Linked DNA regions of Lytechinus pictus. The protein of the gene in region 1 purifies or fractionates together with the protein of each later gene. This does not show direct contact. Links are inferred from orthologs where the notes say so. Each region holds a gene or a part of one and is shown on either strand. Other genes may lie near its edges. The genes, in order: contactin-2-like and neurexin-4-like.

The links.
Region 2: the proteins of contactin-2-like (region 1) and neurexin-4-like purify together in Drosophila melanogaster (affinity purification with western blotting; 4 studies listed by BioGRID). This does not show direct contact. The link is inferred for Lytechinus pictus from reciprocal best matches to the Drosophila melanogaster genes Cont and Nrx-IV.

What each region holds. Positions count from the first base shown.
Region 1 is NC_087247.1:8,598,537-8,615,338, forward strand, and holds the start of contactin-2-like, read left to right. Parts: upstream 1-10,146; 5' UTR 10,147-11,620; coding exon 11,621-11,678; intron 11,679-12,903; coding exon 12,904-13,194; intron 13,195-13,811; coding exon 13,812-13,907; intron 13,908-16,802. UniProt on the Drosophila melanogaster protein: Required for organization of septate junctions and paracellular barrier functions.
Region 2 is NC_087247.1:43,052,919-43,070,063, forward strand, and holds the start of neurexin-4-like, read right to left. Parts: upstream 8,227-17,145; coding exon 8,143-8,226; intron 6,673-8,142; coding exon 6,564-6,672; intron 1-6,563. UniProt on the Drosophila melanogaster protein: Seems to play a role in the formation and function of septate junctions.

The DNA.
Region 1 (16,802 bases):
TTTCTAGTGACAATATATAAAGTGGATGCTGCTGTGAGAGCAAACCTTGAATGTGGCCTCAAGATTTCAAATTAAAGCCATTGCAATTAGGAGTTTGGAGCAGGAGTAGTAACAGAATGGACACCTTCAGGACAGATACCAGCCAGCACCAGTAATAAATCACCTTGTTTTTCCCCTCCAATATGAAGCAGGGAGATGATAGAGATATATATAGGTGGTTTCAGACCGCCTCGAAGTTCATCGGTTCCAGGTATTTTCTGATCAGGAAATTTTTCCCAATCAGAATATACCAGGTAATATTGGCAATGTGAAAGCAAATTGCGCGTAATCTCCTCGAAAGAAAATACCCACTAAATAGTAGGTACTTGTCAAAATTACGAGAACTCTAGCGGGGATTTTTCCAAGGTCGCAGGTATTTTGGCTATGTGAAAGCAATTTACGGGAACTTTTAGCTCAGCGTGTAGTTGGGCGCAGGCGCCGTCGGTGGCTGCTGAGCTAGTGATTTTGAATCTAGCGCCTTGCCTGCTTATTAGACCATACTGCGCATGCTCCTAACTTCAGGAATTTATCCCGAAGGGTATGTTTCGGGGCGGTGTGAATGCAGGTATAATTAATGGGTATTTTTTAGCCTAAAAAAGTTCTCGTAATTTAACAGGGATTCTTATGATCGAGGCGGTTTGAAACCACCTTATGAGAGTTGGAATAAAAAAAAGTGTACTAGAGAGGGAAGGGGATGAATGATTGATGATTTGGAATGGATGCAATCATGAGATAGGAAAGGAGATTGTGAGGGAAGGGATGAATTATGAATCATGAGATGAAAAAACATTGAATTTAGATTTAAGGCGGAGGTCATTTCTAAGAGGATTCCTTAAGTATTCTGATATCAAAAGTTGACAACAAGGATGAGATAAAATAACGGGGGGGGGGGGGTGAGAATTATGATTGGCACTGTATTGTTGACAGGTGCAAACGAGAACATCACCTTGTATACATGTATATGTATTTCATCTTCTCTCTGTCTACTGTTAATTTCCCAAGGGGAAACTCTTTTCGGTCACTCTTTGAATCAAGATCGTAATAGAGAGGCAGACTTTTATGTAATTTCATATTTAGTATTACCAAGGAGGTTACATTTTCACTCCTTAGTCATTCACACTCCCAACCATTCTTCGCATTCAGCGTGATACAAGTGCACTGATACACCTTCATGTGGAACCTTCCATCTTAAAGTATCATTCAAAGCTAATCAATATTGAGAATGGAGATTAGAGCTCTTTTAGAAATAATTTTCTGTAAGATTTAATCATTTCAATTTATTTGCATAGTTTACCAAGCAGTGTCATAACAATTAAAATGTGATTGAAAACATAGAAAGTCATTGTACACCTGCAACATAATACCTTACTCATTTAGGCCTACACTATTTTATTTCTTAAAAATGAAAATATGAATTAATTGAATATAAATTAATTAATTCATATTCACAGTTTACATGTTCATGTTACAATATATATCATTCCAATATGGATGAATGAATTCTAATGTACGTATTGAAATAAACCAATAAATCAAAATGGAGTGAAGACCATCTTCTTGCGTCATACAATTCATTAATCCAACTTTTCGCATTCATTTTATCAAATTCAGATCCTTTGTTTTCCACGTTGAAGAGTGTATTGTGCTGTATGATGTTGTTCAGCATCTGCAACCAAATACATTTACCTTATCTCCCCCCCCCCCCATGTCTCTTCACGTAGGCATCATTAATCTTTGGTGGCGCACTGACATACACCCTCACATAACTTAAACATGGATGTTATGATATGATGGTTATACCACTGTAGTATACCATCTCCTGATGATAGCACTCTCTGATGTAAACAAACATAATGAAAGTGGTTATTGTTACACTTCCAGGGGACTGTCCTGTATGTGGGGGAGAACTTTTTAGTGGAGTGGTGCTCAATCTTGTTCAATTTAAATGTCTCCGGAAAGCTAAGATGTAATTCTAAATCCATGTCTTAAACTGGCAACTCTAGGATATTTTTAGACCAAATTTATTTGTCTTTACTTTGTTTGAGATTGTTTTTGTATCTTCATTAAATACATTTTGGATTATATCATTTTGAACTAAAACAAAATAGTGTTGATGCTTACATTATACATTGATTATGTGTGGTTATGTGGTTTTTGCTGCATTTTTTTATAGTCAGATTCATGACTTTCTCGCACATTTTCAATGGTATAGATATATTTTCAATATCAAACCCATTCAAAATTATATTTTTGATAGAAAATATGCCCCCAATAACTTGTATTGTGGTACATGTAAATATATCAAAAACTTCAAGTGTTCTCTCTGTCCGCTTCATGTATAGTGACTGTTGGACAAGTCATGTTTTATAGGGTGTTTTTTTTTATTCCTTTCATTACACTAGTAAGGTGTCTTGATAATTAGAGTGTACCCACCTCTCATGCTGGTGTGATATTTAAAGGGTTTCTTCTGTTTTACCCTCACGCCGCCCCACAAATCTTAGTATAATAGATCTCCAATCTGTTTATAATTGGCCTCCTTTTCTATTTTTATCAACGGTAAGTGTGCCTCATACAAACTCTCAAATTAGCATTCTCAAATGCCCAATGGCAATTTTAACCCCCAAAATAGGTAAAACCACAGTGTCAAAGCATAGACCTTACTGGGTGTTTTGTAAAGTTCTCCTGTATTTACATCAAGAGACAAAATGATTCCTTCTTTTTCATTATATTGTTTCAGCTTTAGGTGTTTTCTGCACTACTCCAAATACCTCACTTCATATTATTTCAATTTTGTTTTCAAATTATATTTGGAGGGTGTAGTAACTAGACCATTTATTTTTACGAGTGAATGACTTTCCCTTTTCTTTTCCCAATGCCATCAACTTACAAACATGAATATGACGTCTGACATGCCAGATCAGGGAGCCGTTTCATAAAGATGTTCGTAAGTTAAGAGCGACTTTAAGAACGACTGGTGAACCTTTCTTACGCGCTTAACCATCGCCAATGAATATACCATTTTCCACAAGAAAGGATCACCAGTCGTTCTTAAAGTCGCTCTTAACTTAGGAACAGCTTTATGAAACACCCATCTGAATGGTTAATTGCATGTATATGCATCTTTCTGTTAGGCAATTATTTCAATTGATGGTTGTTTGGTGTATTGCAAACATCCTCTGGCATCCTAATTGATGGTCTTCTCTATTAATGGCAAGAAGGTAATTTCCTCTACATGGCAATACAAAGCTAGCGTCCTTTTGGTTCCAAACGGCCAACCTTATCCCTCTCCCCCATGACTCACATAGGTCCATAGAATGCAGCGTTTCAAGACCTATTCATCATGGACACATTTCAATTAACTCAACGCGACGCGGACCTTCTTTTGCCTAGTATTGTAACCTCCAAAACAAATTAGTGTGATACAATTAGACGTCATTCTCGGCTAAACAGGATCCCTATCGAAATGTGATATATGAAATGTGACAGGCTCCTTATCCAATAGTTAACTACCAACAATCTCTATATCTTCTGTATATTTTTTATTTATTTATATTGGTTTTATATATTTTATACTGCAGGGTAGGCCTGTTCAGTTATGCAAAACTGCTTTCCAAACGCGCCCTGCAGTTTAACATATAACTCAACATCATAGCAATTCAATGTATGTAACATATAATTATAAAGTAAAAACAGAATACATTATATACAAATAGAGTGAAATCAACAATTACTCATGGAATCATTACAATTACAGTATTAAAATAAATATTTTTGCATCATTGAAAGTATAGCCTTCATATTATATATAAATGTGTTTGTAAGAGAATGCCCATAGCTCTACATGATTTCTCATGGCATTAGAGGATTTAGAGAGTTAATGTGTGATGCAATTCATAAATATTTGGTGCTTATAGGGTTTTTTTAATCATGAAAATTAGTAAAGATAAATTGTCATAACCTCCAGCCATATAAGTGTACATTAGATATCTTAGTTATTTGAAACGTGACAGTGTTTTATTTGACCGAAATGTTATTGGATGTTTATGCTTTGAATTTAAGTAACTAGAGGACCTAGAGCTTTCTGTTATTTCCGAGGGACTTGGCAATAATGATTGTTGTCTTACAATAGTGCACACGCATAATGACTTTGATCACACTTGGGTCAGTAAGTTATGAAAACACTGCTCTTACAACTTTGCTGCCATGCAGCAGTAAGTCAAGCAGTAGATAAGTTATAAAAATACACTTTTTAAAGTAGAATGTGACTTGAATTGTAAAATAATTTTTTTTCTTCTAAATACTATATATTTTTTCTTTCAAAACACAAGATCTACCCATTCGATTGGTTATCTTTTATGATCCTTGACAGCAAACAATCCAAACATTACTCAAATATTATTCAAAAAAAGTATAATATGACCATATGGTGCAGTGATGGAGTTTTTTTCTAAGAAAGCTCCCATAATGAAATGAATTCCCAAAATACAAAACCAGTCATTCTGAATTCTAATGAGCTTTTTAATGAATTACGCACCACACTCGCACTCATCATCGAGTAATTAAAATTAGTCATAGAGACACGTGTGTAGCCCACCTTGCTTTCTCCTGTACTGATTGGCTTGTATGACAATAGCTTCACACTGACCATTGTGACCAGTGGCTAACTAGCCAGACCATTAAGGTCATCTGTTTACTCACAGTCTTAGTCATCACAAACAAGTATGATATATCCCTTTGTTATTTTCATCTTCATTCTCACTCAATTATCCAGTTCTGATGAATTGATTGTTATCTTTCTATCCCTCATTCAATTCTCTTCTCCACTGTCAGCCAGAACACTCTTTTTTTAACCCTATGCGTGCTGATGTTGCAAATCTAACAATCCCCTACCTTCAAATAAGATAAGCTAATAAAAGGCAATATTTCTTGGATAACATCTATATAATAATAATAAGTATCAATGGTGCAATATGGAAATCTTGAATTAAAGAAAATAACATGGAACAATTGTCATTATTATCCCCCAAATATTAATTCAGCATGCAAAGAGTTAATTTTGTTTTATTTTATTTCTCAATTTTCAAGATAAATATGCAGCATAACATATACAAAGGTAGTACATTCAATTTTTACAAAACAATAATACAATGGACAATATATAAGCAATGAAAAATAAATATTAACAAGATGCATCATTAACTTGAAAGAAAATATCATAGTGTAAAAGAATGCAGGAGACGGCCATCGCTGCTTAAGATTGCAATTATACCTCAACTGAATTTTTATGTGGAACGTATGATCTTTATATATCCCTGCTTTTTAGTTTGAGTTTTCCACATGTATATTTTTCATGAATAGATTGCTGTAGCCATTACCTTTTATCTCAGTTATTTTGACAATTCATCTAGATAGTTTCCACCACTTTGCATAATAATTATGAAATAATTATATTACAAGTTCAAGTCATTTATTTCCAATTAAAAATTTTGATTTTTGATTTTTATGTTAATTTTATTTTAATTTAACAAATTTTGCCATCAATTTGTTTTTAATTCTTAATGCAATAAACCTTACCATTTTGTTGTTTTCTGTTTAATCATGAAATTGCCTCACCATCATATACTCCATTAATTTTCATCTAATATTCCCTGGTTTGGTGCCATGCATGTTTTATTTAACCATCATCCCTTGGAAAAAGATCTATGTACTCTGTGTGTATCGATGGGGAGCTTTCGAGAGCTTTTAGGGTAATTAACATTACAATCACTCAAGACTGTCCCGGTTTATTGGGTAGCTACACAGGGTTGAGTGCTTCTATTTTAGAACTGACATTTTGATAACTATCAGGTCTTGAACAAGAGGTATTATCGGATCCCTCGTTTTGTTTTTTCTTTCTTTTTTAAAGTTAAGCCACACAAATTTCTCTTCTAATACTATGTCTTTATATTAGTGCATGTCTGTTAAGTGCTGTTTTTGTAATCATGATGAATCTTAAATTCTGTGATCATTGATAATTTATATTTTTAAGATTTCAAAAAATATGAGCATGGCCATTGTTGGGAAGATGGGTGGGGTTGTGTTATAGAGTTTGTGAAAATTATTTTCAAACCTCCCTGGATTCCTGATTCATAAGCTGTGATCGATGTGTAACCCTTGCCTATGTTCTCTATCTATATTTTAATTATCTATTCAATCTAGTTACATGCATAGCTCCATCATCATGCCTAATATTTGATATGCAAAGCAAACACAAAGCACCACAATATCCAATAACAAATGTTTGCAATGAGAAAGTCTACAGATCGAAGCATCGGAATGCTTCCAGTCACTTGAGGAAAACGTGAAATATATTACTTCACATTCTCTGGCATTTTTCAAGCATACCTAGACTGTAGTCTAGCTTGTGTTGAAGTAAGAAATGGAAATAATTTTTCAAGATGTAGAAAGGAAAGGAAAGTGGAAGTTGGAATTTTCTAAAGAACGAGGCTCAGTATGGTCATGGAGCTATTATAGCTCCATGGTATGGTATAGTGTTTGCTGTAAAGTTAGGTCCTGGTGACTCCTGACTTATTGATTCATCTCCGGGCGCAGTGTGCACAGCGGGATCATAAAAATGGCCTCATGTATTAGCTAAGACAACACTGAGCTGTCTCTCAAGATCTCTTAGAGTGTACTAATGGATCTATGCAGGATGCCCTTTGAAAATGAAGACATATAAAATATCAAGTTTGATCAATGGCCAGTTGGGAATTGATGACACAGTTTTCATTTGTATTTTCTTGTCTGTGGAAGGAATTTCTCGAGGATGTCGCCAAACATTGCAGTTCACATTCACGATGCTGTGTAGGGATTTTGCCATCTCTCAGAAAATGATTATTTCACTAGTTTTACGATGTTAATTTCCCGGTTGGTACATACACAGGGGCCGCAGAACGGTCTTCAAAGTGGGGGGGGGGGGGGGCTGAGCCAAAAGTGGGGGGCTGACCATGCGAAAAATCACAATCATATGGTCATTTTCACGTTTTTGTGCACGGTTTTGGAAAAAAGTGGGCCCCCCCCCCCCTCTTCCACGGCTCCTGATACATTTAAGTTTATTAGGCTCATGTTAGATGTTAGATCATCATGAGAAGAAGCACTGGTGGATCCAGGGGGGCACAGCCGGCCCATGCCCCCCCCCCCCCCCTTTGAGAAGCAAAATCAAAATGTGTAATGTAAAATACCATTAAAACAGAAGTGTGCCCCCCCCCCCTTTGAAAGTGAGGACCTTTTTTTTTTTTGCTTGTCAAATTTTTTCGGGGACGAAATATCATTAATTTTTGGTTAAAAACTTTTTTTTCCTTGTCAAACTTTTCCTAGGAAAAATGTCCCCCCCTTTTGGAAAATCCTAGGTCAGCCCCTGAGAAGAAGCGTTGGGTATACATTGTCATTCTGATTCATTGTTAGTATGAGCATACACTGGATATTCAAAGTGTACGCAAGTGTCCTGTAATCAAATATGTCAGTATGTTTCTTGTTCAACAACATTATTCTACATACGTCTGTGTTAGTCCCAACCAAGACATTTTGGTAATAGTATTACTGTACAGTATAAGGGACTTCGGATATTATCCTTTGTCGGCTGGAACTGCTTTCGTGCCAGAGCCGTGTTTTGCTATTTATAGAGGATTTATCTGTTCTGTTTGGGATGGATATACAGTGAAATGAATCTCGGAAAGCTGATAGTCCCACACAGGCTATGTAGTGGGGTACTTGGTCATGAAGACGCTATGTGATCGATGATTCCGTCCCCCTTGGTATGTAACGCCATACCCCTTCCAAATTCAGGGATATACAATGGAATGGATGGGCTCGAACATGAAGGGGATTTTCTTACCACTTTATCTCAAGAATTCTCATTATTTCTTCACTAGTGAAATGTATATCAAGAAAGGAAGCTTGAATTGAGTTAAAGCCATGCTGATAAATTAACCATTGTTCGGTTCACTGGGGGAAACAAGCCATTTGTTATATGATATGGGATATTTAACAAAGAAGAGCAATGGATGGATTGTACAATGGAAAGTTTCTGCAAATCAAAACATTGTTTTCCACTTTTGCAATACCATGAAAAGCGACACTTTTGTGAATATGGTATTTCAGGGAAGAATATGATGCAAATTGCATGCCATAGATTATCATATAAGGTAGATAGAAAGTTGTTGTATGTAACATACCCATGTAAGTAAGGTATAATATTGTAAAAAATCAGAATGAGACTATGATAAACAAGGGATTTTTGTTGTTAATTACAGAGAGTAGAAAAATATTTATTAGATTTTCTGCTTTGGAGATTGTAGGCTTAAGACGGAAATGCCAAACCTAACCACATGGCAGTATATGCCATTGCTCTATGAATAACAATGAAGGCATACTCATTAATGCTTTATCATCAGTCAAGTCATGTACCAAAGCCCAAAGAAGAAAACCAAACCATGTATTGATTTCCACATTCATCAAGTTTTTATTCATACTAGGCACGTTTTAGGGATTTATGCGTTAAATGACTATATGATGGATCACTGAAGTTCCTATTGACTGTTGATTAAGGAAACCACTCTTCCATTTTTAGTAATAGTATTTGGGTAAAAGTATGCAGCGCTTATTTCTGTTGGTAGGATGGGGATGAGAAAAATGCAAGTGAAGATTTTAGTGATCTATGACTTTGTTCAGTCATTAGAATTGGTTATTCTGCTTTCATAGTTGGGCAACTTCTGATTTTCATTTTCATTTCACCAAATGTATGGACCGACTCATGAATAGTACAGTAGATTTAAAAAATTGTCCAAAATATTTCTCGATGTAATTGTGATGATGCTTCCCTGTGTAACATATAGCTGTAGGACATCAGTATGATCAGAATTTATAATTGTCATAGTTACTTTTAATCACCAGCATTCCACATTGTGTGGAACATTATAGCAAAACATTTTTTTTTTCAAATAATGATACACCATGATACACTTTGCTGTTCAGTGTCATCTTGAGTAGATGTGAATATTTACTTTATACCAATACACCATTGTATACACCTGCAGTTACACTCTGGTGTTCAGTCTCATCTTCAGTAGATGTGAATATTTACTTTTTTTCAATACACGATTGTACACCTGTACATGTAGATACACTTTGGGGAGCATTTCATGGAAGGACTTATCAGACGTTTTATCTGACAAGTACTGTTTAATACGACAGTTACTATGGTAACAGTGCCTCTCAGCCAATCATTATCACGGAAAGCTGTCAGAACTGACAACTTTTTAGACGAAAATGTTGATGAAACCCTCCCCTGGTGTTCAGTGTTATCTTCAGTAGATGTGAATATTTACTTTATAACAATACACCATTGTATACACCTGCAGTAACACTCTGGTGTTCAGTCTCATCTTCAGTAGATGTGAATATTTACTTTATAACAATACACCATTGTATACACCTGCAGTTACACTCTGGTGTTCAGTGTCATCTTCAGTAGATGTGAATATTTACTTTATAACAATACACCATTGTATACACCTGCAGTGACACTCTGGTGTTCAGTCTCATCTTCAGTAGATGTGAATATTTACTTTATAAATTTACACCATTGTATACACCTGCAGTCTCACAATGGTGTTCAGTGTCATCTTGGGTAGATGTGAATATCTATCATCAGGGGCGGTGGTTGTTAAGCAGTAACATAATTGCTGAATTTCACTCACATAAACAAGTACTTGAGGCGAAATGGCAATATTGCTTGTCCGTATTCCAGTTGAAATGATTGTAATACCCCCCCCCCCCCCAAAAAAAAAAATGCATTTTAGGTTCAACAATCATATATATAACCTTGGTTTTAAAGCTGAGCTTGGGTCATTCGATAGAGTGGTCTGCAATTATGCAGTCAGTTCATTGAAAAACATCTTTTGTAAAAATGATTTATGTGCATATCCCAAACCATATTTTTAGATTTCATCATATGTGATCACATGTTAGAATTTACACAAAGGTGTTGTAAGCAAATTATAAATGGCTGTATGGCTGATCTTGTATATTTCAGTAAATTTGCTGTCAATTGCAGATTATCATATTAAAGATAAAATGGAAATGTTATGATGAAAAAAAAAAGCCCTTGTACATTTCTCCGGCAGGAGCTGCTGTTGTATTCATGTCAAGTATCACTTTACACAAAGAGGTGTCATCCAGCCTTTGTCTCTTCCAGCCATGTAATATAACACCATCCAGTCAAGTATATAATGCCCTGTTCCATGCTGTCAACCTGTATCATCTCGTATTACATGTGTCAACCCCAAAAATAGATTAGAATAATTATGAGATGGTGGGCCTTTGTCTAGACCAAGTTAAGACTTCTCATCTTCGCTATCATCCTCATTGTGTCATTTCAAGGCAGATCATTTTGTAATTAGTTAGGTACTTTGCAGAGTAATATTGTCTGTCTGAGGAGAAATGATGGTTTGGTGGTATCTGATGTCGGTTGTTTATCTGATCTTTACTTGTGAAAGGATGTATAGTAAAAATAAACATTTTAATGTATTGTTTTTAAAGATTCTTCCATTACATGGGATAAAGAAACAGCAATCGTCTGTATAACAGTAGAAGTAAGGCAGGTAATTTCTGTTTTTTCTGGGGCTACATTTTGACCTCACCAGGACAATACTACATTTACGATCGACCCCATGGGAATTTTAGGTGCTCTTTTTTTCTAGTTTTCTGGGACTTTTGGGGGGGCATTTTAGAGGTGAATTCACCCATGCTCTGTATTGCCATCCTGTGGTTCCTCCCTATATTGGACCATGCATTTATATATCAGAGCAAAATGCATCTTAACAATCAATCATATTCTCTTCAGACCAGTGCCATGGCAGCCAGCAATCGCTCTTGGTTGTGATCTACTAGGCTTTTCCTTGATCCCTGTAATACCTCTCAGTCTTGGGTGGCTAAATGAGGTTCTAAAGTGTCCAGCATATTCCTCCGTTTAAAAAAAAAACCTTTGTCGGTTAGTAATTATTGTCCAGCAATTTCAAAGGGTTGCTCTGAATTTTTTTAATGAAACTTGCATGCCTTACAACATATTTAATTAATTCTATTGACAAAATTGGTTCATTTCAAATTGAAGATTAAGATTAATCAGTAGTATGTTTTGAAGGGTTCTGCAATAAAAAACTGAAAATTTTATTGTCAGTCATTATCAATTGTTTCCATGATTATGGTACCGAAGTATGACATCGCAAAAGTTGTAAGTGCTATTGATTTTGTTCATAAATTTCTAAAAGTCGAAGAATTAACACAAATTCGAATTATTGTTCTACATGTAGTTCAAAGCTTGTTTTTATTTTGTTTCATATCCTCATGGTTCCTGCAGATTACTATAAATGTACGAGTACTAAAAGGCTCTATTATGCTTGCCGATACCTTCAGTATCTTTAAATATATATTTTAGATTCTTCACTATGCATATATTTTTAATATGACTTCTCTTTTTTCATCCCCTTTCCTCTATCTACAGAGTAAAGTAACGTTCATCCAATACACAGCGTAAGAGGTGAAGATGTTTTACAAGATAATTTTGAGTTGTGCTGCCCTCTTTGGTGCTGCTGTACAAGCAAGTGAGTAATGGCTTTATAAGTGTCGAGCAGAAGGAAACAAACCCAATGAATTAAATCTCTAAAATACGTAGTATTTGCATTATTATTATCATTTATACTCTTGTTGAAACATAACTGGTATTTCTTGAGTAAGCGGAATTTGATAGTGAAATCAGGAACTTTATTAAGGAAATGAGATCGCCATAAAAATGATTTGTAGGTATGACTAGTCATAGGAATACATCAGTTCTAAGCAAATTTGGTGGAATTGGGGGGTCGACATCTCGCGCAGGCAAAGGCAGCGCACCGTGCTAGTGTACTGAAATGTGACTGTGATGCTTAAAAAATGAAAACCATATGGCAAAAGCAGAGGAAGTACTCACCAAAAACAGTCTATGCAGCAAATTTCTCTCTCAGCTCCTGGACCCTGATAAACAGCATAATTTCATGTAAGCCGGCCAAGTCGCTTCAGCCAGCGCAGCATAATCGCATGAGGCCTTGCGAATTTCTGTCTGTCCACTGCAACCGGTAGCTGGCGCACCAAATCTTCTGCCAAATTTCCCCAAAAGATAAATTTAATGGCCTGTATTCTGAAGTCAGGTTTAACTTAATTAGACCATGGTCTAACTCTGTGCTAAAATTATGGGAAGCCAAAAGTGTCAACATTCTTATTAAGTTTTATGTTTCTTATGTTTACTGTGCTCTTTCCTGATTCATCGATGGTGAAGACAATCATCTATTTATACTTCCTAGACAATTACGAATGGTTTGAGAGCCAAATGAGCTGAAATGTGATATCTCTACCGTTAGTGATTTATGTCACAATCGGCTTATCCATACTTGAACCACAACTTTAAACCTCAGTTTAAGTTAAACCCGACTTCAGAATATGGGCCAATATGTTCATGATCAGGGCTCAAGGCCACATATTGGCGGTCTTGGTCTTTGCCTTGGCCACAGGCGGAGTCATGTGCACAAAGGAGAAGGTTATCTCCAGTGGCTTCGTGACTTAGAAGCACCAGCCTGTTAAATATAGTATGACTGCTATCAGGCTGAGCTTTGGATTCCCTCCTTGTTTTGACCCTATCCATGATGATTGTTTAGAAACTTTAATTTGTATATAATATTTTTTCTAATATAACTATTTACAATGTCATGCATGTTTATTTGTTGATACAAATGCTATTGATTTACAGGGTTGAACAGCATCTTCAAACAATTTTTACTTTTTTTTTCGTTCTGTAAGAAACTGGCCCAATCCTTGTAGAGCAGCCACAGGAGACCATCTTCGATACAGCATCCAACCTGAACACGGTATCCCTCAACTGTCGGGCCACCGGTGATGAACCCATCACGTACACGTGGACCAAGGACGGTGCCGCCCTCTCGCAGGCAGGAAACCAGAGGCTGATCATCACACCGGGACAGCTGACCATCACCAACCCGGACAGAACCACGGACGGAGGGGAGTACGTGTGCCTGGCTGAGAATCACGTGGGGATCGTCAGAAGCTTGCCAGCTGAGCTCGTATTTGCCTGTAAGTGGTGCAGGAATTCGGTTCAGGGCCCAGTCTTACAAAGAGTTACAATTGATCCAATCAACCACAAATATGGAAAGCCATCAACATCTAAAACACATGTTTGTTCAAAATATTTTCTAGATATGATGTATATTCATACGTTCACTGTTTTCTTGACAGTTCAGTATGCTTCTCTTTGTTTTCGAAGGACATTGTGCAAATTACCTAGAGAAAAAATTATGACATTGATGGATTTCCATATACTTGAGGTGGATAGGATCAATCGTAACTCTTTGTAAAACGGGGCCCCATTTCTATTTCTTCAAGACTTGCAAAACTTTTTTACTTAGCCCATCACGGTCCCAATGTACCTGCATTTCTGCTTTAGCCGACATCTGTTTCTGCCTCATGTTCAATTTCCATTTTTGACCACACCCCCCCCCCCCCCCCCCCCATCCACAAGTTAACCCCTCATCTGTTTCCTCGGGACTTCCTCTTTACATCAGTGAAACACGACATGGGGGAGGGTTAATGAACAGCAGTAGTATAAAGCTCAGTTACTGAACATTGTGTTTGTGAAATATGTTATCTATGCACATGTACAGACCATAACAAAATCTCTGCTTTTCTTTCAGACGTTGATCAGTTTCAACCAGACGCTTCACTATCTACGACGCTAAATGCCGGAGAGGGAGGCTGTATAAGCTGTAACCCACCCCCACATTATCCAGGTCAGTTTCAATACATGATCAGTTAACCATATACTATATCAGAACCTCTCTACTTCTACTTCAAACATCTTTATTCTCTTCCTTTTCCTTTTGTTATTGCCATTGGGAGTAGTTTTTCTCTTAACACCCCCCCCCCCTCTCTCTCTCTCTCTCTCTCCTCTCTCTCGCTCTTGTGCTCACTTTTTCTCCCTTATTTTCTTTATTTTGTATCTTCATCTCCTCTCAATTCTCTCTCTTTGAAAGAAAGTTTCTCTTTCTTTCTATGTAATCTCTTTCTTTCCTCTCTATTTCTGCCTCCTCTCATTTTCTGTCTTTCTATTTCTCTTTCACTCTATCTCTATTCGTATCCTCTTTTTTTATACCCCTCCCCATATTTCTTTATTTTTATATGATTATCCAGTTTCTACCCACCAACTCATTGTTATATACTGTATTTTCTTTATAAAGCTGACATTTCAATTAAAAAAAGTGTCATGAATTCAATACTAAGTAAATTTTTCAGCGCATTTAAAATATCTCATATCGTGATACATAATGTATATATAACTTTGTCTTTTCAGCTTATACAGAAATCCCCTAAATTTTATACTAAGAAATACATAGTAATTTCCTTAATCTGCAATATACAAAAATTGCCAATTATACAGCTTTTTGTTGTGGCCCTGCAGTGTGAAATGAAGCAGTTAATTTCATTGCAAAATTGTGATGAATTGCAAATGCAGTGTAATAAATCTATACATGCTGGTGAAAAAAACAATGCGTAAAGGTCTTTATTCTTTTCTCAATTTTGAAAATTGCATTTTTATTTTGCTTGTTTCAAGGATCCAATGAATTGCAATTCACCAACAGCAAAAAAAAAAAAAATGAGGACTTGCTAATACATGTTTGATAAACTAAGTGAATATCATTGTCCAACATGTTATGAGCATCAACTTAGCAAGAGCTGATTCTCATATTGATGTGAATAATACATCATTTGAAATATGTTTGTGCACTTTTTATCCACCACAGGCTCAATATGATAATTCACATCACAAATTTTTAAAAAGAATTCTTTGTTTTATTTCTTTATGAATCATTTTGTTTTTATTTCATTATGTAATCGTCATGGGGCGCCCTCTCTTTTTTTCTTCGGATCTTCATCGACATTGTCAAATGTTGCCGCGAGCAGACGGTTTGTATCCATCATGATCATCGTCTATAGTGTATTTCCCATGATGCAATTTGTAGCACATGACTAGTGGACTAACCATACAGTTTGATAGTTAGTGTTAGACTTTGTTTGTTTACCTTTCAGCTTTGTCACTTTAATACTTCACTTCTATTTAATCTTCAGAGGACAGACCAGCTGATAAATGTATTCAGGAAAAAAAAATGTCAACGATGGTTTGCGTTCATGCTTTCTATAATGAGTTGAAAGCAACCTAAATTGTAATGCATCTAAAGCTGCTCAAACAATCACAATAATGACATATTTTTCATATCTTGGGAAGGGTATTGAATATCGAGAACCACAATGAACTATAGCAAGTCAGGGTTCTCGCAGTCGTTGAAAATCCTGGAAAAATTTTTGGTAATAAAAAGTCAGGGAAAAGTCAGGGAATTTGGAAAATTTGTGAAAATTCATGGAATTGCATTTACCTCTTGGCTATGGCAGCTTTCCAGTTTGTCTCGCAACTCTCATACTCTGTGATCATACTCTGCTATTATAATTGGTGTTCATGATTTCCATTTTTCCCAGTTTTGTGACATCCCAAATTCTACATAACTCCCGGGAAGTCATGGAAAGCAGCAATTCAGTCATGGAATTCTGTTTTCAAATTTCTGTGGGAACCCTGCTAGTTAAACTTGAAGGATTGTGTGTGGTTTCGTAATCAATTTTTTTTTTAATCCCAAGGTTGTCATAAATCAATTAAAATTCAATCAGTTTGCGACCTTGAAGAGAAAACATTTTTTGACAAATGAGGAATATACCCTTGTGGAATGCATTACTTCCAAACCACACGATTTATTCTACAGGTTGTGGTATCAGTTTTGAATTCCCGTTAAATGACATTTTGATATTTCTGAACACGTTTATCAGCTTGTGTGATGCAAGTGACACTGTCGATAAGTCCCTCTTGCTGTTATGTGAGATTCATCATAAAGATGTTAGATATCTTCAGGTCTTTCCTGCTTGTTCGTCAATTATCCATCTAATCTTTATCCATTCCATCTTAGTTTGGAGTTCAACATTCATATTTTCACTATATATAGTTAACAGTGTGATCATTATCAGGAAATTCATGTGGAAAGTAGTTTCGCTATGTAGGTAACAGAGTGGTCAGTATTTGCGAATCTTCTGTCAAGGTATCAAGCACTTGTACTTTGTAAGATCTGTATAATAGTAAATGCCCGTGTCTGCTGCCTTGGGTATCAAACTGACGAAAATTGATTTTAATATTAAATCACAAAATTTAACAACTTGCGTGCAAGTGCGTCAAAAGAGGCACTCAAGTGAAAACAACCTGACACTCTGAGTTGTCCATGAATATAATTTTACTGCTGAGCATATGGAAGTCAATTTTATATTTTCATCTTCATTATGAGACCAGAATTGTAGAGAATTGCATAGAGTCCAAATTGTAGCTCAGAAAACCCATGCATTATGTAAGGTCAATGCCTAAATCAAAATACCTTTGTGAGATGTAAACAACTTGTATCATGTGGCTTAAATCAAATTAGCAAACATCCATCCACAGTGGTAGAAATGCAAGTCTGTGGCAGTGTTTTTTTTTTGTTTTTGTTTTTTTGAAGTAAATGGTTATTTCCTCTCATCAAAATTATTTTGTGAATATTCGTGTAGCCAAAGCCAGTTAGTATTCAATAAATGTGAGGTCCATTTCTGATCTATGT
Region 2 (17,145 bases), about 34 Mb from region 1:
ACCTTTATAAGTTTAAACACTCAAGTTTTTCTGGGATTTCACTGCTTGTCCTACAGATTATACATGTATAAGTTATAGACAGGGTATAAATCCGTGCACCTTTATAAGTTTATTAAAACACTCAAGTTTTTCTGAGATTTCACTGCTTGTCCTACAGATTAACCCTTATCTCCTCTTGGGATTCACCGTTCAGTTTAATTTTTCTTAAATTTTCCAATTTTTACTTGCAGTATACATGTATGCTATCTTATACCAATGTAAACCTATATACATGAAGGAAAAAGCAGCTGACCCACACATGTTCTGTGAAATGCACAAATAGCATTTTAATAGAGGGAAAACATTAATATAAAAAGTTAATCTATACATCTTGGCCCTTGTACCAAAATTAATCATAGCATGTTATTTAGTACTTGAATGAAACAGGAACAAGTTTGAAAGTATTTATAGCTTAATAAATAGAGTAGAATTCACTGAGCAAAATGCAGAAAATTTCATCGAAATCGGATAATAAATAACAAAGTTATTGAATTTTAAAGTTTAGCAATATTTTGTGAAAACAGTTGTCATGAATATTCATTAGGTGGGCTGATGTCACTTCCCCACTTGTTCTTTTGTATTTTATTATATGAAATTAGGTGTTTTAAATTTTTTTCCTCCAAGAACTAGAAAAATTGGATTGACAACTGATTTAGTGCATTAGATATTTATTGCTGCAACTTATTTTATTATAAGGGAGACATACTATTCACACAAGTATAAAATAATGAAAAAAATATGATTTTATGTAAAAAAAACATAAGAAAAAGGAAAGTGGGGATGTGACGTCATCAGCCCACCTAATGAATATTCATGATGACTGTTTTCACAAAACATTGCTAAACTTTAAACTTCAATAACTTTATTATATGTTATCCGATTTTGATGAAATTTTCGGCATTTTGCTCAGTGAATACTACTCTATGTATTAAAATATAAATATTTTCAGCCCGGACCATCCCTTTAACAAGCCACTCTTTGATTATAGTTTTTCTGATTTAGATGGATGTCAGTCATTATGGTTTAACAGATTGATTCATTCCAAATCAAACAATACCTTTATTATGGTGCATGGTATGATAAAAATGTTCACACAATATCAGATTTGCTTAATCCACCCCTCCCTGGCCATAAATTGTTTCAAGAACTAATCTTGGATTTTAATATACCCCATTCTGACAGAAGAAATTTTAATTTTCTAATCCAGAATATCCCTAAAGACTGGCTTATTCCCTATCTTCGAAATACTGATGTCCATAACAGTGATGATGTTCATCATGTTAATTCTCAAATTAATAGGTATTTAAAAATTTCCCAGCTATGCTTATCTTGAGTGGCAAATCTAGCCCTGACGCACGTTATGAATATCTTACCTATTCCTGACAATATTTCATGGGAGAAAATACATTGCAATAACTTCAAATGTCCGAAAGACACTAAAATTTGTTCTTTTTATTTCAAAGTTTTCACAAATGCACTGCTTTTAATGATTTTCTTTTCAAGATTAAAAGGAAAGATTCCCCTTTGTGTGAATTTTGCAACAAATTCCCTGAAACATCATATATTTTGTGATTGTGAAAAGGTTTTACCCCTGTGGCAAGATTAATACAGAAGTTTAATTCCAATTTTACTTTATCTAATTTCAGAAAAATGTTTGGTGATCCGAATGATATAAGTTCATATCCTACTTATTTTTTATTACTGAAGTACTTCATTTTCATTTGTAAATTCAGCAAAGTTGATCCAAACTTTGGAGCATTTAGATCTTTTAAGAAGCAAAATGAAATTGAGTATTGTGTGACCAAAAAAGAAACAAACTCGCAGCTCATTTTAAGAAATGGAAAGTTCGAATTATAATTTTTGTCATCTGCACAGTATCATTGTATGTATGGTATCCTGTTAACTGTGTATGACCATACTTTTTTTTTTCCTGTTTTTCATAAAATAACATCAAAGTTGTGTTAAATATCACGTCTGTGTCACTGCATAAAACTTTCCGATTTTTTTGTTTTTGTTTTTTATATTATCTATATATTTTTGTTTTTTGTAATGATTACTTATAAATAGTTTATGTTTCATTTGTTATTTTTGTTTATACTTGGTCTGTGTTGACCCAATAAAACATAAAACAAAACAAGTGGAATGCCTCTGGCCGTCTCACCTGCACCACGCGATTCAATATAGCAGCAGTGCTGATTTTGAAAACTACTATAACTCGCACAAGATGTTCAGTGATACTTGGTTACTCGTATTTCCACGTTTTATGAATTAGACCAATACACTTATAGAGATACGATGGCAATTCAACAAATACCCCCAACGTGGCCAAAGTTCTTTGACCTTACATGACCTTTGACCTTGATCATGTGACCTGAAACTCGCACAGGATGTTCAGTGATACTTGATTACTCTTATGTCCAAGTTTTATGAACTAGACCAACACACTTTCAAATTTATGGCTGTAATTCAACAAATACCCCAATTTGGCCAAAGTTCATTGACCCTAAATGACCTTTGACCTTGATCATGTGACCTGAAACTTGCACAGGATGTTCAGTAATACTTGATTACTATTATGTCCAAGTTTCATGAATCAGATCCATAAACTTTCAGTTATGATGGTAATTCAACAGATACCCCCAATTCGGCCAAAGTTCATTGACCCTAAATGACCTTTGACCTTGGTCATGTGTCGTGAAACTCATGCAGGATGTTCAGTGATACTTGATTAACCTTATGTATACGTTTCATGAACTAGGTCCATATATTTTCTAATTTATGATGACATTTCAAAAACTTAACCTTAGGTTAAGATTTTGATGTTGATTCCCCAACATGGTCTAAGTTCATTGACCCTAAATGACCTTTGACCTCGGTCATGTGACATGAAACTCAGGCAGGATGTTCAGTAATACTTGATTAACCTTATGGCCAAGTTTCATGAACTAGGTCCATATACTTTCTAAGTTATGCTGTCATTTCAAAAACTTAACCTCAGGTTAAGATTTGGTGTTGACGCCGCCGCCGCCGTCGGAAAAGCGGCGCCTATAGTCTCACTCTGCTATGCAGGTGAGACAAAAACCTTTAATTTTCACTAAACTACAAAGACAAAACACTAAAATATTCAGCTTGAATGTTTATTTGCTTACACGTACATGTAGCATGAATTATAGACTCTACAAGAAAAAAACTTTGACAGCAAACAAAATCAAGACCAAATCCAGACATTATTTTTTTCCTGATCAACGTGACATTCTTTCATCTCTTCATCAGTCTACAAATATTTGACCAGCCTGCATCACCAAATAATGTTTGTTCAAATTTCATACCACTGAACATTCTAAAATAGGACAAAAAAGTTCAAAAGTGCCACTATGTTATCAGCTGTGCTTACACAGTGAAATCAGACTCAGGGTAAACTGCCTTACATACATGTACATACACATGGACACGAAAAGCCAGTCTTCAGCAAAAACTCCTTGGTACAATTATTTTCAAGATGAAACAGCACTTAGGCTGAAACAGAATCTTCACCCTTCTTTCATTATGTACATAAACATGTACGTGTACAAGCATGAATAATTGAATATGACTTGTGTGGGGAAAATATTTTCATGATACCTGCACTGTTTATGACACGGGGGGGGGGGGGGGGGGGGGAGAAGGGAAGATCGCAGCACAATTGAATGGTTGGTATCTGAGTCTGAGCTCTGCACCTTCACGTACATGTACATGTAGCCAAAACATGTAAGGAATAGGAAATTTAGTCAAAAAAGCGGTCTCTAGAGCTTCACAAACGCGACTAAATCAAGTACACTTACAGTATGTTACATACTATTACTGAATGGCTACACTGACTTGCTTTCGCACTGAGTGAAGTCATCAAAAAATAACCCAATAATCTAGTAATCACCAAATAAAGAAGTATAATGAAAATGTAATGACAGCTCGCAGTGCAACTGCAAGAAAACTTGCTTTGAATTGAAGGAGAGCCATCTGAACTATTCAGAAAAGCAATATCGTACCGTTAGAATACTCAACCATCATTAACCTTCAGTAAGACGAGGCTTTTACTGCTGTATTAGCTCGCCAACCAAAGAGGAAGAATGCTATTCATTAGACCAACCCCCCTAAAATACAGAAAGATGTTCTGAAAAGATTTCCCCCATTATTCAACACTGTAAAAGGCATACATGTTGGCCTAAATATATATATGTAAACATGAATACATGTAAATTTAGTTCATTTTCATACAGTACACTACATGTACATGCATTATATAATACAAAATGCATTTATGTAACTGTTGAAGGCTTTTTCATTATATTGGTAGATCTTATTTTTCTTACTTTTTCAGTGTCTCTCTCTGTCTACACAACCTTAACACTTTTCTTGTCATTGGTCTACTTTTCTTATTAAAAACAAATCTGATGCCGCCAGGGTATAACTACTGACAGACTACTGTACCCTTATAATTTTTTTACCAACTATGTTAACTAACAGAACATGTATAAATGCACTTGCATTTTGCAATTGTATTATACATAATTTATTAATGTTTTGAAAGTAGACCTAATCAATTCAGAACAAATTTCAAGTCTTTAATAGGCAATTTACTGTACATACAGATATATCATACATGCACATCTATTTTGCTGATGCAATAATTAAAACAGACTTACATGTATAAGACAAACTACAATCGTTTAGGTTTTTAAATCAAAACCTTATATTGTCTAAGGAATATAAATTAAGAACTAATTTATAATGTAAAACCATCATGTACACGTACATGTATACATGTAGTACCAGGGCCAGGGGATTACTTCCCTGATTGTACAGCATGGAGTATTTCACATATAGTGCAAAACTTCATCCATACATGCCAACATCAATCAATGTTGGAAATTTCTTTTTAGAGAAGAGCCAAACCCTCCTTTAATTAGCAGACATCTAGCTTGTTAGAGCATCCCCTAACATTAATCTTAGAAGGTGTATTCAGACTGCCTCGATCTTTAGAATACCATTTAATGACAAGAACTTGTTCAGGCTTGAGAATACCTAACAAGTGGAACGCCTCTGGCAGTCTCGCCTGCATTACGCAATTTAATATAGCAGCAGTGCTAACTTTGAAAACTACTATAAAATAATCATTCACAAAAACATCATTCATATAATGACATAATACCACGTTCATTGACCATAAATGACATTTGAACGGAGACTTAAGACTGTCAACTACACCCATGTCCACATTTCATTCACTCTATCCATAAACTTTCAAAGTTATGATAGCACTTCAACAATTACCCCAACATGGCCTAAGTTTATTGACCTTAACTGACCTTTGACTTGGTTTTGTGACCTGAAACTCACAGGGGATGTTCAGTGATGCTTGATTACTCTTATATCCCAAGTTTTATGAACAAGATCCATAAACTTTCAGAATTAGGATGGTAATTCAACAAATACCCCCAACGCGGCCAAAGTTCATTAACCTTTAATGACCTTTGACCATGGTCATGTGACCTGAAACTCGCACAGGATATTCAGTGGTACTTGATTAACCTAATGTCCAAGTTTCATGAACTAAATCCATAAATTTTCAAAGTTGTGATGGTAATTCAACAAATACCCCCAACTTGGCCAAAGTTCATTGACCCTAAATGACCTTTGACTTTGGTCATGTGACCTGAAACTCAGGCAGGATGTTCACTAATACTTGATTAACCTTATGTCCAAGTTTCATGGACTAGATCCATAAATTTTCAAAGTTATGATAGTAATTCAACAAATACCCCCAACTTGACCAAAGTTCATTGACCCTAAATGACCTTTGACCTTGGTCACGTGACCTGAAACTCGAGCAGGATGTTCACTAATACTTTATTAACCTCATGCCCAAGTTTCATGAACTAGGTCCATATACTTTCTAAGTTATGATGTCATTTCAAAAACTAAACCTTCGGTTAAGATTTTGAAAATAATTTTCCCAACATGGTCTAAGTTCATTGACCCTAAATGACCTTTGACCTTGGTCATGTGACCTGAAACTCAGGCAGGATGTTCAGTAATACTTGATTAACCTTATGTTTAAGTTTCATGAACTAGGTCCATATACTTTCTAAGTTATGATGTCATTTCAAAAACTTAACCTTAGGTTAAGATTTGATGTTGACGCCGCCGCCGCCGTCGGAAAAGCGGCGCCTATAGTCTCGCTCTAATATGCAGGCGAGACAAAAATTACTTTTCACATTCATACCGACCCAAGGCAGACCCTTACAATCAGTATGGCCTGATAAGCAGATATATTAAGGTGTGGGATTCAAAATCACCAGCTCAGCAGCAACTCACGGCACCGGCACCCAACTACTAGCTAGGTTGAGAAAGTTGCCATAATTTGCTTTAGCATTGCCAAACTACCCAGGACCTACGAAAAATCTGTGTGAAAATTCTCTTAATTTCGGCAAATTCCTACCATTTAGCAGGTATACTTAATTCACAGTGTACACTGCCAAAATTACCTGGTATTTTCTGATCAGGGTAGATCAGGGCGAATTTCCCAAATACTTGTACTTGGAACTGACAAACCTTGAGGCGGTCTGAAAAGTCCCTGGCCTCGTCTGAATATGCCTTTAGTGTTGGTGTCGATGTTATCAAAGTATCAAGAGAATGAATAAGTACTAGAAGAAACTATTTCAAGCCCCATCAATAATAACAGAAACTTCTTTTCCCAACTTCATTGGGTAGAGTCAGGTGAGGGTTTTTTTAGAACCCTTTCTGTTAAGATGCTCCTACTGAAGAATTGTCCAGATCATTCTTTAATTAAATTTTGATAAATTTGTACTGGTTTCACTACACACAAACATGTAAACAATAACAATAAACAAATCATTTATAAAAAGAGCCATCCATCTAGTAAACTATAAAAAAAATAAGACAAACGTGTAAAAGTACAGAACTGTAGAGATAACTTTTAACTTTTCACCAGGAAATAATGTACAATTTAAACATGTAGGTCTTTTTTGTAGTTGGTTTCTACTCTCTGTATTCTACAATTCAAAAACCCCTCTTTCATTCTAGGCCTAAATGTATCAAGAGTATGTCCTGCTATACAGTACATAGGCCTACATGTACATGGGGGAAAGCCTTGCAGTTTTACAGTCCATGCCATGTACATGTATACATTTTACAGAGAACCAAAAGACTTCTACCATTTCTATAGAAAGTAAAAATCATTTAATCCCAAATGGCATCCATTAATGCAAACAGTGATGGCTCATTGAAGATCAAACCCATTCAAGAATGCAATTCATCATTTTGCTCAGCCTAAAACATGGCTCAAATTGATATTGATTCAGAAGGTGCCTAGCTTTCTGTCAACAGCAAATCATTTTTTCATATTTTAGGCCAAGTAAAAAAGAAAGTAGTTGATCGTCCAGGTTTTTCGAGAGCAGTGATGAGGGAGGTCCTTACTATTTAAAAAAAAAAAACAAGGAGTCATTTTCTCGGCCTATTTTTTTACATCAGTGATGAGGGAGGTCCTTACTATTTACTATTTTTTTGCTATTTTTTATTCAAATGATTGTCAGGCCATGTCAGGCTCGATTAAGCCAGGTGATCGATGCATGCTCAATATTTATAATAAATGAGTAAAAACATATATATGAATATATAAATAAGTATATAGGCCTATATTCAATTAATTGGAAATCTATGAAAAATGTATATTATGCAATAAAAAAATTATTGATGTATTTATTATACTGATGTATGGATCTACCTGTACTAGTGTATTATTGTAAAACAAAATGCTCATGTCAAGTGAATGATTAAAACATTATTCTACATTATATATGTAAGGGTAAAATATACTTGGGGGAGGGCATTTAGAAAAAAAGAATGAGAGCCATTTTTATTACCTTGGAGCCATGGTTTTCCAGAGCCAATCTCTTTTCAGCTCAGGGCATGGTTTCGGATCGCAGTTTGTCCTGCTTTTTTTTCCATTTAAATAATAATAATTCTCAGACCAATAGTATCATGCGTAGGTTCATTTGCCTATAACCTATCAAAGTACCTGGCGGACATCCTGTCCCCTCTCACTAACTGCTCAGAACACACGGTTTCCAACTCCAGTGAATTCGCTGAATTCACATCGGAGCAGACAGTTAACGAACAGGAATCCATGATCTCTTTTGATGTAGTCTCCCTCTTCACTAACGTACCGATAGAGGGCGCATGCAGTACGGCCCTGCAACGCATGCAATCCGATCCCACATTATCAGAACGTACCACACTTATGCCCGAACAGATAGCCGAACTCCTGGAGTTCGTCCTCAGATCCACATATTTTCTGTACAGAGGCTCTTTCTATGAGCAAAAAGAAGGAGCAGCAATGGGTGGCCCAGTCTCAGCGGTTGTGGCTAACCTATATATGGAAGGTTTTGAACAGAACGCTTTGCCCAAGTGTCCTTCCACATGCCACCCTCGGGTGTGGAAGAGATACGTCGGTTTACTTTCATAATCGTAAACAGATCCGAAACAGACAGCCTACTCTCATACATGAATAGCCAGCAACCGTCCATCCAGTTCACTCTGGAGACTGAGCAAGGAGGGAAATTAGCATTCCTTGACACGCTAGTGACACGCTTGAACGAGGGCGGGAAACTCTCCACCTCTGTCTACCGCAAGCCCACTCATACAGACCAATACATACCATATGATTCTCATCACGACAAATCGGTCAAGAAGGGTCTTGTTAAATGCCTGTTCGACAGAGCAGCACGTATCATAACTCACCCACCTGAACTCCCGAAAGAAAGAGCACACGTACGTGGCGCCTTGTACAGCAACGGCTACCCACGACGTTTTATCAAGAACACTTTCAAGAAAAAACAACCACCAAGGGATCGGAAGGTTTTCAAGACTTGCACAGTCTTGCCATACATAGATGGCCTCTCACAACAACTTAAACGCCGATTAGAAGGTCACGGTATCCGAACGGTTTTCCGCTCGGACACCACCTTACACAAACAGCTTGTACACCCCAAAGACCCTATCCCTGATCACAGACGTGATGGCGTAGTATACAACATTCCTTGCCAGGGATGTGACGGGTCTTACATCGGAGAAACAGCCCGACCGATAGTTGAACGCATTTCTGAACACAAGTTACAGCGAACCGACACATCCGCGGTGGCAGAACATGCTTGGGAGAAGCAACACCACCCAGATTGGGAGGGTGTACATTGCATTGCCAAAGAGAGACATTGGTATACACGCAGGATTAAGGAGGCTATTAGTATACGTCTTTGTCCTAACAACTTCAACAGAGACAGCGGGATCGACATCCCCGACTTCTGGATGCGAACCATCCGACAGCACAATACCCCCTTACCTGGCAGTGCACGCCGACCCGATCGTTCCCGGCCCCGAACGAGGGACCGCTCAGCTAGTCAGCCCCCGCCCACGGGAAACTAGCGAGCCCGCCAATTTTGTCTAATTTGCATATTGCCGACCCACGGCGTATTTGCATATACCCCCGGCTTATTTGCATATACGGATTACCGGCCGCACCGCATACCGACGCAACGGATCAATGCCCACCTATTGTTCTCGCGTTCGTGCGTACGGTCCTGGAGATTAGTATAAATAGAGTACTTTTTCAGATAATTTTCGTCACTTGATAAAGAGTTGCAGCGGCACTCGAAAGCTCGTGAACTTGTAAGCTAGTGAACACTTTTTGCGAGAGTGATCACGAATTTCCTAGAAAGCCAGTGAACACTTTTTGCGAGAGTGATCACGAATTTCCTTGTTGACCATAGTAGATTGCGAGACAAATGAATACCCTCTAGCGATTAATGTTTGATATTGTTTATTCAATCGCTATTCATTTTTTTTTATTGATATCAATTGTTAAAGGATTTTTGAATTAATTGTTAATTATTCACTGAATGTTTATTATTTCAATATTTGTAACTGTAAGATCTATTTACTAACTTAAAATTGTCCATCAATTTGAAAAGCTCAAGGAAGGATGAAGTTTATCAAATTTGAACAGAATTGGTAGCTTTTGGTACTTACCGGAATCCTTTCATAATTTTCAATTGCTAAATAATAAATAGCTCACTTGAAAATAATTTTTGAATATTCAATGCATTGCCGCTGGAGAGCTAACGTTATAAAACTCGCCAGAAAATTATTCATTTCACAAATTCACATGTCTCGCCAGCACAGTCAATCACATCACTGCAGCACACATGCACACCCAACACATGCAGTCACAAGCACAGTCAATCACCGCAACACACACCGCAGTACAGGCACTATCACTCACCAAAAACCCCCAATGAAATACAAATTACGTCATTAAAATTGATTTATCTGTGCCATATTTCCAAAGCATACAACAAATTTAGTCAGATTTAGGAAGCGGGGTCCCCAAAAATGCAATGAAAATGCAATAAAAATGTGATTTTTTCAGAGTTTGCAAACTTTATTTTCTCGCTAATTTATGATTGTATCTTCAAAATTACCAATAAAAAACCAAATCAGAATTTTTTTCTTTATCGCAGTTACGGCGATATCGGACTTTGCAATTGTTTTAGGAAGTTGCGGGAGAGATCCCAGAGCACATGAGAGCAAATCGCTCATCAATCTTGTGTATTATTTTGCTTTTCAGCAGCCATAAAAATAGTAATATATCAAGAAAATTGATGCGGCAATCAAAAAGGGAAGCGGGTGCAGACGAGCAACATCACTTTTTGATATTTCTTTAGCCAATTTTTGAAAATATTAAATAGTAACAAATTTCATGCGGTGGCCAAAATAGATGCACGCGAGGACGATCAACTACTTTCTTTTTTTACTTGGCCTTACAAGTGCTCAAAAGGTTGAAAAGAAAAAGATCTATGCACATCTAAATGTACACATTGTACAAATTTTGAGAGCTAAACATGCAACAAATTGTTAATAGTCAATCTATAGAATAAACCCATTGAAAAACTGCAAAGGACATACATGTACTATGGCTCTTCCATTATAAACAATTTGCTATTAAAATCTATAGATAATTGCCTTCATAAGTTTATACATAATTGATGTCACAACTCATAATTATTATTAGCCTACTCGTAATTAATCATAAGGTTCTGCACCATCTGCTGATTTGAGAATGTTATTACCACAATTACTGACTCTATTGATTTCACCAACAAACCAGAACTAAACCCTATCCAATTAGCAATACTTGTTTACTCAAGCTGTTGATTGGTTTAAGAATAGATGGAAATTAATACATTGTTGTATTTTAATACATTTTATCCTGAAACATTCAACTGCTTTTAAAGGACATACATGTACCAGGGTTCTCCACAACCTGAAATTTAAATGTGTAATTATAAAATACTGAGAAGATGTCACACACACACACACACACATTGAATAGTGCAAGGAATATATACATATTGTGAAAATGTCCATTCATTATTCCTCATTAGAATGAAGATTAAGAAAAACAAAATTGTTTACAGTTTGTAAATCATGTATAAAGAATATTTTACATGACAAAAAAATGAATACACCAACTCGCATTAAAATCATTAAAGAATAAGAAATGGGATTATTCATATATACATCTATGTCATAAATCTTATCAATCATACTGTACAGACTGCTGATCATATTGATGATGAAAATTGAGATGAAATATCTGAATGTTGCTAAAAAAATACTCAACTCTCCTTTCAAGCAACTCAGCCCTTGCACACAATGTACATGTAGCTTATCATTTTCATAACATGTATTCCGGAAGTGATTAATATAAAAAGTGGAAAAACAAAATGAGCTGGGAGCTAGGGGAAGACAAATTGAGGAGTGAAAATTGCCATGTACTCACCATCTCTCTGGTGGAGGCGTGCATAGCGAGGGCTTCGACGATCACTAAAACTGCTTGAGGCTGTAATCATTGAGTCAGATATGGCCCCTGATTCCATTCCAAGAGCTTGGTTGCATGGTTCTCCTGCAATAATTATGAGGGAGAAGACAAGTAACGTTATTATTATCGGATATGCTTTACTTTTCAAAAACAAAACAATAAATACAGAGTTATACAAAAGGGCACAAGAAAATCCAATAATATTTTCATCATTACAAACATGATTATTATCATAGCAAGTGAGCTGTGGAAAGAGTAAATAGTGATATTATTGATAGGGGAAAACACCACATAAATAAAACAAATGTCACAGGATTACACAGATGCACATTACTGAGAATATGAATTCTAATTTCAAAAAAAAAATGTCAAGCTTGAAATTTTGTAGAACATGAAGAAATCAGAACATAAATGAACTAAAAAAATTGCAATAATACAGGCCTACACATGTGCACCAGCTTTAATACACACTTCAATTTATGTAGAACTGCATGTGGCAATATTTCCACATCTGCTTTCAAACAAGCCAATTACAATTGGTTAAACCAACATCATTAGTAAATACAGGCATCACTGAAACAGAAACACATGGTTTCACTTGGCCTCATGATGTCCATACAATCTTATAGCCTGTTCACATGCCAAAAAGCTTTTCAAAAATTTAAAGGGCAAGTCCATCCTAACAAAAATTGAAAAAAAAGGAAAAAAATCAATATGCCTATGGTATTCCAAGCAAATTTTGTTCCACACTGTAATGTAAAAGAAAGTTTGATTCCTCCCTGGACGTGTATATGGAATTGCCATATTGTCATAATTTGATGAAGAGTTTCCTCATTATCAAATGTGCAAAATATGAATGATTGTATTATCATGCAAACAAAATACTAAATAAAGGGTGAGTGAGTGTCATCATCAATTTTCTCATTTCTTTTACAAATCCCTGTGTTGTGCATATCATACTCCTTTGTGAAAAATAAACAAAATTTTGAAATGCCATCAAGTTCTTATTTCACATAAGTTTGGATTTAAATTAAATTTCCAGCATTGCACTTGTTTGATTTATTATTTTTTTTTAATTCAAATCATTTTTTTGTTGGGGTGAACTTGACCAAAAGAAAAAATGTGAAAACTGAAACCTATCAGAGCATAACTACAAATAAAAACATCATACAAAGACCAAACTCTCTATAAATCACGTAGGCCCTAATTTATTACTAAAATTTCTGGTACAGGGTACTTAGTTGTAACCCATGTTTCCCTTTGCATACTGCTTCCAAATAGTAGGCCTACCATCCATTACTGTTGTCAAACTTGTCTTACATTGTAAGTACAGTTCATGATTTGATGCAAGCAGTTTGCACAAATTCACAATTTAAAATGAATTTTGGCCTTAATGATACAGTCACACCAAAAAAAAATGACTTCAGACCAATCAAAGCCATAACATTACTTTAATGGCATACCATTATCGGTTTGAAGGTTCTGTTGGTGCATACACTTTCACATTACACCAGACTGTGTTCAGATCATAGTATAAATATACATGTAGCACATGAAGAGCCTACATGTATACAATTTCAGAGAATCTACAGTATACAAATTATGACTATATCTTTTTCAGTGTGAACAAGGAGAACATCTCCTGGAGACTCACAAAGGGGACATGGCAACCACAGCAGGGGAAGGGCATGGGACTTGCTCAAGTTATTTGAAGGCTTCATTATTAAAATTCTAGATTTATTAGATCCAATAAAAATTAAAAAAGAGGTGGCGAAACAAATGACAAGGGCTAATCCTAACACAACGTCACAGGGCAAGGTTTACAAGTGATTTCACCAAAATGACAAAAAAAATACCTTATTTCCATGGTACATGTAAAAACAAAAATTAACAATATCTGTATTCTTATTGCAAAATAGAAGTCATGACATATGTAGGTCTTTTATAGAATTTATCATAATTATTCATGTTTATTATTAAAAGCATTTTTCAAAATCAAATTTTAATACTAGAGGGAATACATGTACTTTACATGTGCATGAAACGAATGAGCACCTTTTGAAACTCAGTTTTAGTCGAGAACTGCATAAATGTGGACAAGTCTACATTGTAATACCTCACAAAACACCAGTGTAGTAAAAAAATGCCCCTCCATCTCAAAGTATCTCCGTGCAATTAAAGTTCAATAATCAAATTACCCAATACAACCCTTTAAAGCTGGAACAGCACAAGGTTGAGCACATGTTTCTGGAAGGGATTTGGATTTATATGTACAAGTATGTGCACGCATGTATATCTAGAGACAAATGATTCATTGGATGTATTTTTTTTTAATAGTTTTAAAGGCAGAATGAGCATTATGAAACACATAATTACAGATCAAAAACGAAGTTCAATACCAAATTGCTATAAATGTTTCCTGCTTCATATACATGTACATTTAGGCCTTAAATCCTCATTGCAAAAGAGTTAACAAGAACAACGTACATTCTATGTTTTATAAACCATCTTTATCATATTGTGTACTAGTGGAGGCCTACATATTGAAGACTTTTTAAAAGTTACTTGGAATTATCTTCTGCATCATGTATACAAATATTAACATATATAGTCCTATACAGTATATTTTTGGAGGAATGCAAAATTCATCAAATTATGATTGAATTACATAAAATTCAATATACATCATCTGTTCTGACTTCTGATGGTTTGTCGTATCATGGCCAGAATCCAAATGTCTACTTGTAAGTTGTATTAAGTCACTGTCCTCTGCCAGGTTAATTCTCATTTTTTCTTGTTTTCTGTTCTGCAATTTTAAATCCATTGAGTTCATTTGATGTCAAAATACATCTATCCAAGATTATGATGCTTTATTTTACATACAAAGTGATGCGGATCAGAGTATTTTTTTAATATCACCTCGGAAACAGCATGAAATGGATACTTGCTGCAATCTACATACTAGTAGTCTGGTCTGTTAGCGTAAAAAAATATAAGTAGGTTTATAAGAATGAAAGAATCAAATTACAGTCCGGATCATTTTTTGTTAGAAATAACACCCACTGTGTGATCACACTTCTACACCAATATGCAATAAAGGCATCCATGAGTCCATATGAGACTGAAATGCGTTAGACGAAGATGATAGGGTAGCACTGAATAATGCGAGTGACTCCATGAATTATTACTTCTTGCATGCAGCTGGCAAGATCTTGCACTCTAAGGGGTGTCACCTTGGAGTGGATCCTGAGGAGCTCATAACTCCAGGGAGACAGAGTAGATGATGGTGATTTACAAGTTTAATAGCCTGAGTCTTCACTATCTCAAAGGAGGTGATGATCACTTCTGGCAGGAGGCTTCTCCAAACAGATTAAAAATAGAAAATGATGTTTCAATAATTTGCTGGCGAGTGGCAAAATGCATCAAGGATGGGATCGCTCATCACTACATGGGAATGTTCTGGGAGGACAAAGCCACATTCAATCAGAGCACAGACTTTATACCCTACATACAAAATCTTAAAGGGAATACTGTACTTAGCATTTCAATAGGCATACAACTTGAATACATGTAGGCCTACAGTCTGGGCCTGGAGTATGTGAAATTTTATCCACTGAAGGTTATTTCATGAATGGCAATGAATAAGTCCCCAAATGAAGATTTCACAAAGTTCCCACAATGATATGATAATTAAAAAAACAATGTTCCAATGATGAAAATTTTATATTTTCCAGGTCAAATTATGCTTTGAGAATAGGAACAAAAAAGCAGATAGACCTACATTATGATTTATTATTTCATAATTATAAAAGCGCAAGTATTTAATGAATTTGAATCTGATGAGTCCATATCGCTTTCTCTTTTTATTCAGATCAACTTTATGTCATGGTACTGGTACCAACACTGAATCACATAGATCTACAAAGGTTGTAGGGTCTACATGTGTAACATACACTGTATAGGTACAATATGTACATGTAACATAAAAGTAATGTAAGTCAATACTTGTTTACAAGGTGTTTTACAATCTAGGAGGTGTTCATGATTGAGGTTCTGCTAGGAAGAGAAGACAAAATAAAATGATCAATTACTTCATCCAATTAATCAACAAGTAATTGATAAATTTATTGTACATTATTTTCTCAGAGTGTGCAGACCTAACAGGTTCTGCACAAGGTCTCATTCTACATGTAGGGCCTACATCTAATTCCACAGTCAGTGCATTGATATCCAACATGTAGAGGAAGAGCACTGCTGAGGACAACTCATTGTTCTGGTATGCCATAAAGCTGACTGTAAGCTCCCCCATACATGTACAAAATACCTCCACATAATAACACAGGTAATGAAAGGTTTCTCCATTCATACTGCTGCTCTATTGATGCAATGCTCTTGATTCACCCATAATAAAGCAAAGAACCTACAGTACAGGTCTATGTTACAATCACACATCAGACTTCTCCGGTGTGAAAGTGCTGAATAGTGTGTCTTTTCACGGGGCTCACAACTTTTTTGCAAAGGATGCAAATGACAATTTCAAATTGCAAATTCATATAAGTTTTTCTTCAAATCTCCTATGTCCTAAAACAATTCTTGTGCAGTTCATGCAGAGTTCTCACAAAGTTTGTGTGAATGTCACATGAATTGAACCCTGTTAATTTTAATTTTTACAATACTAGTTACACCATATATATATAGGGACAGTGATTTTCCGTTTCAAAAAATTGCCTTTTCCGTTTCAGAAAATCTCAAATTCCGTTTCAGCATGTCAGAAAACGGAAATTCCGTTTCCCCGTAGACTTTGTACACACGGAAAAGTGACAATTCCGTTTACACATTGAATAGCAAAATCACAACACGTACACTCGCACTGGTCAAAATTTGTATCTGCTACTGTACCAACACAATAGAATCCGTTCTTATCGGATCTATGCGGGTGCATAAAATATTTTTACAAACCCATTTAGCATGCATACATCCTCACCTTTCACATTATTAGCATTATTTCATCGATAATTTTGGGGTTTTTTTGGACATCGTTATCATCAGTCAACGGCTTTTGCCAATCCGCCATCTTGGATTTTAAGACCACGATATCGTGCTGTTACATCTTCAAACGTAGAGGGCAGCAACACACGACCGTGTAGTTGAACGATATGTGTGCATGTGAA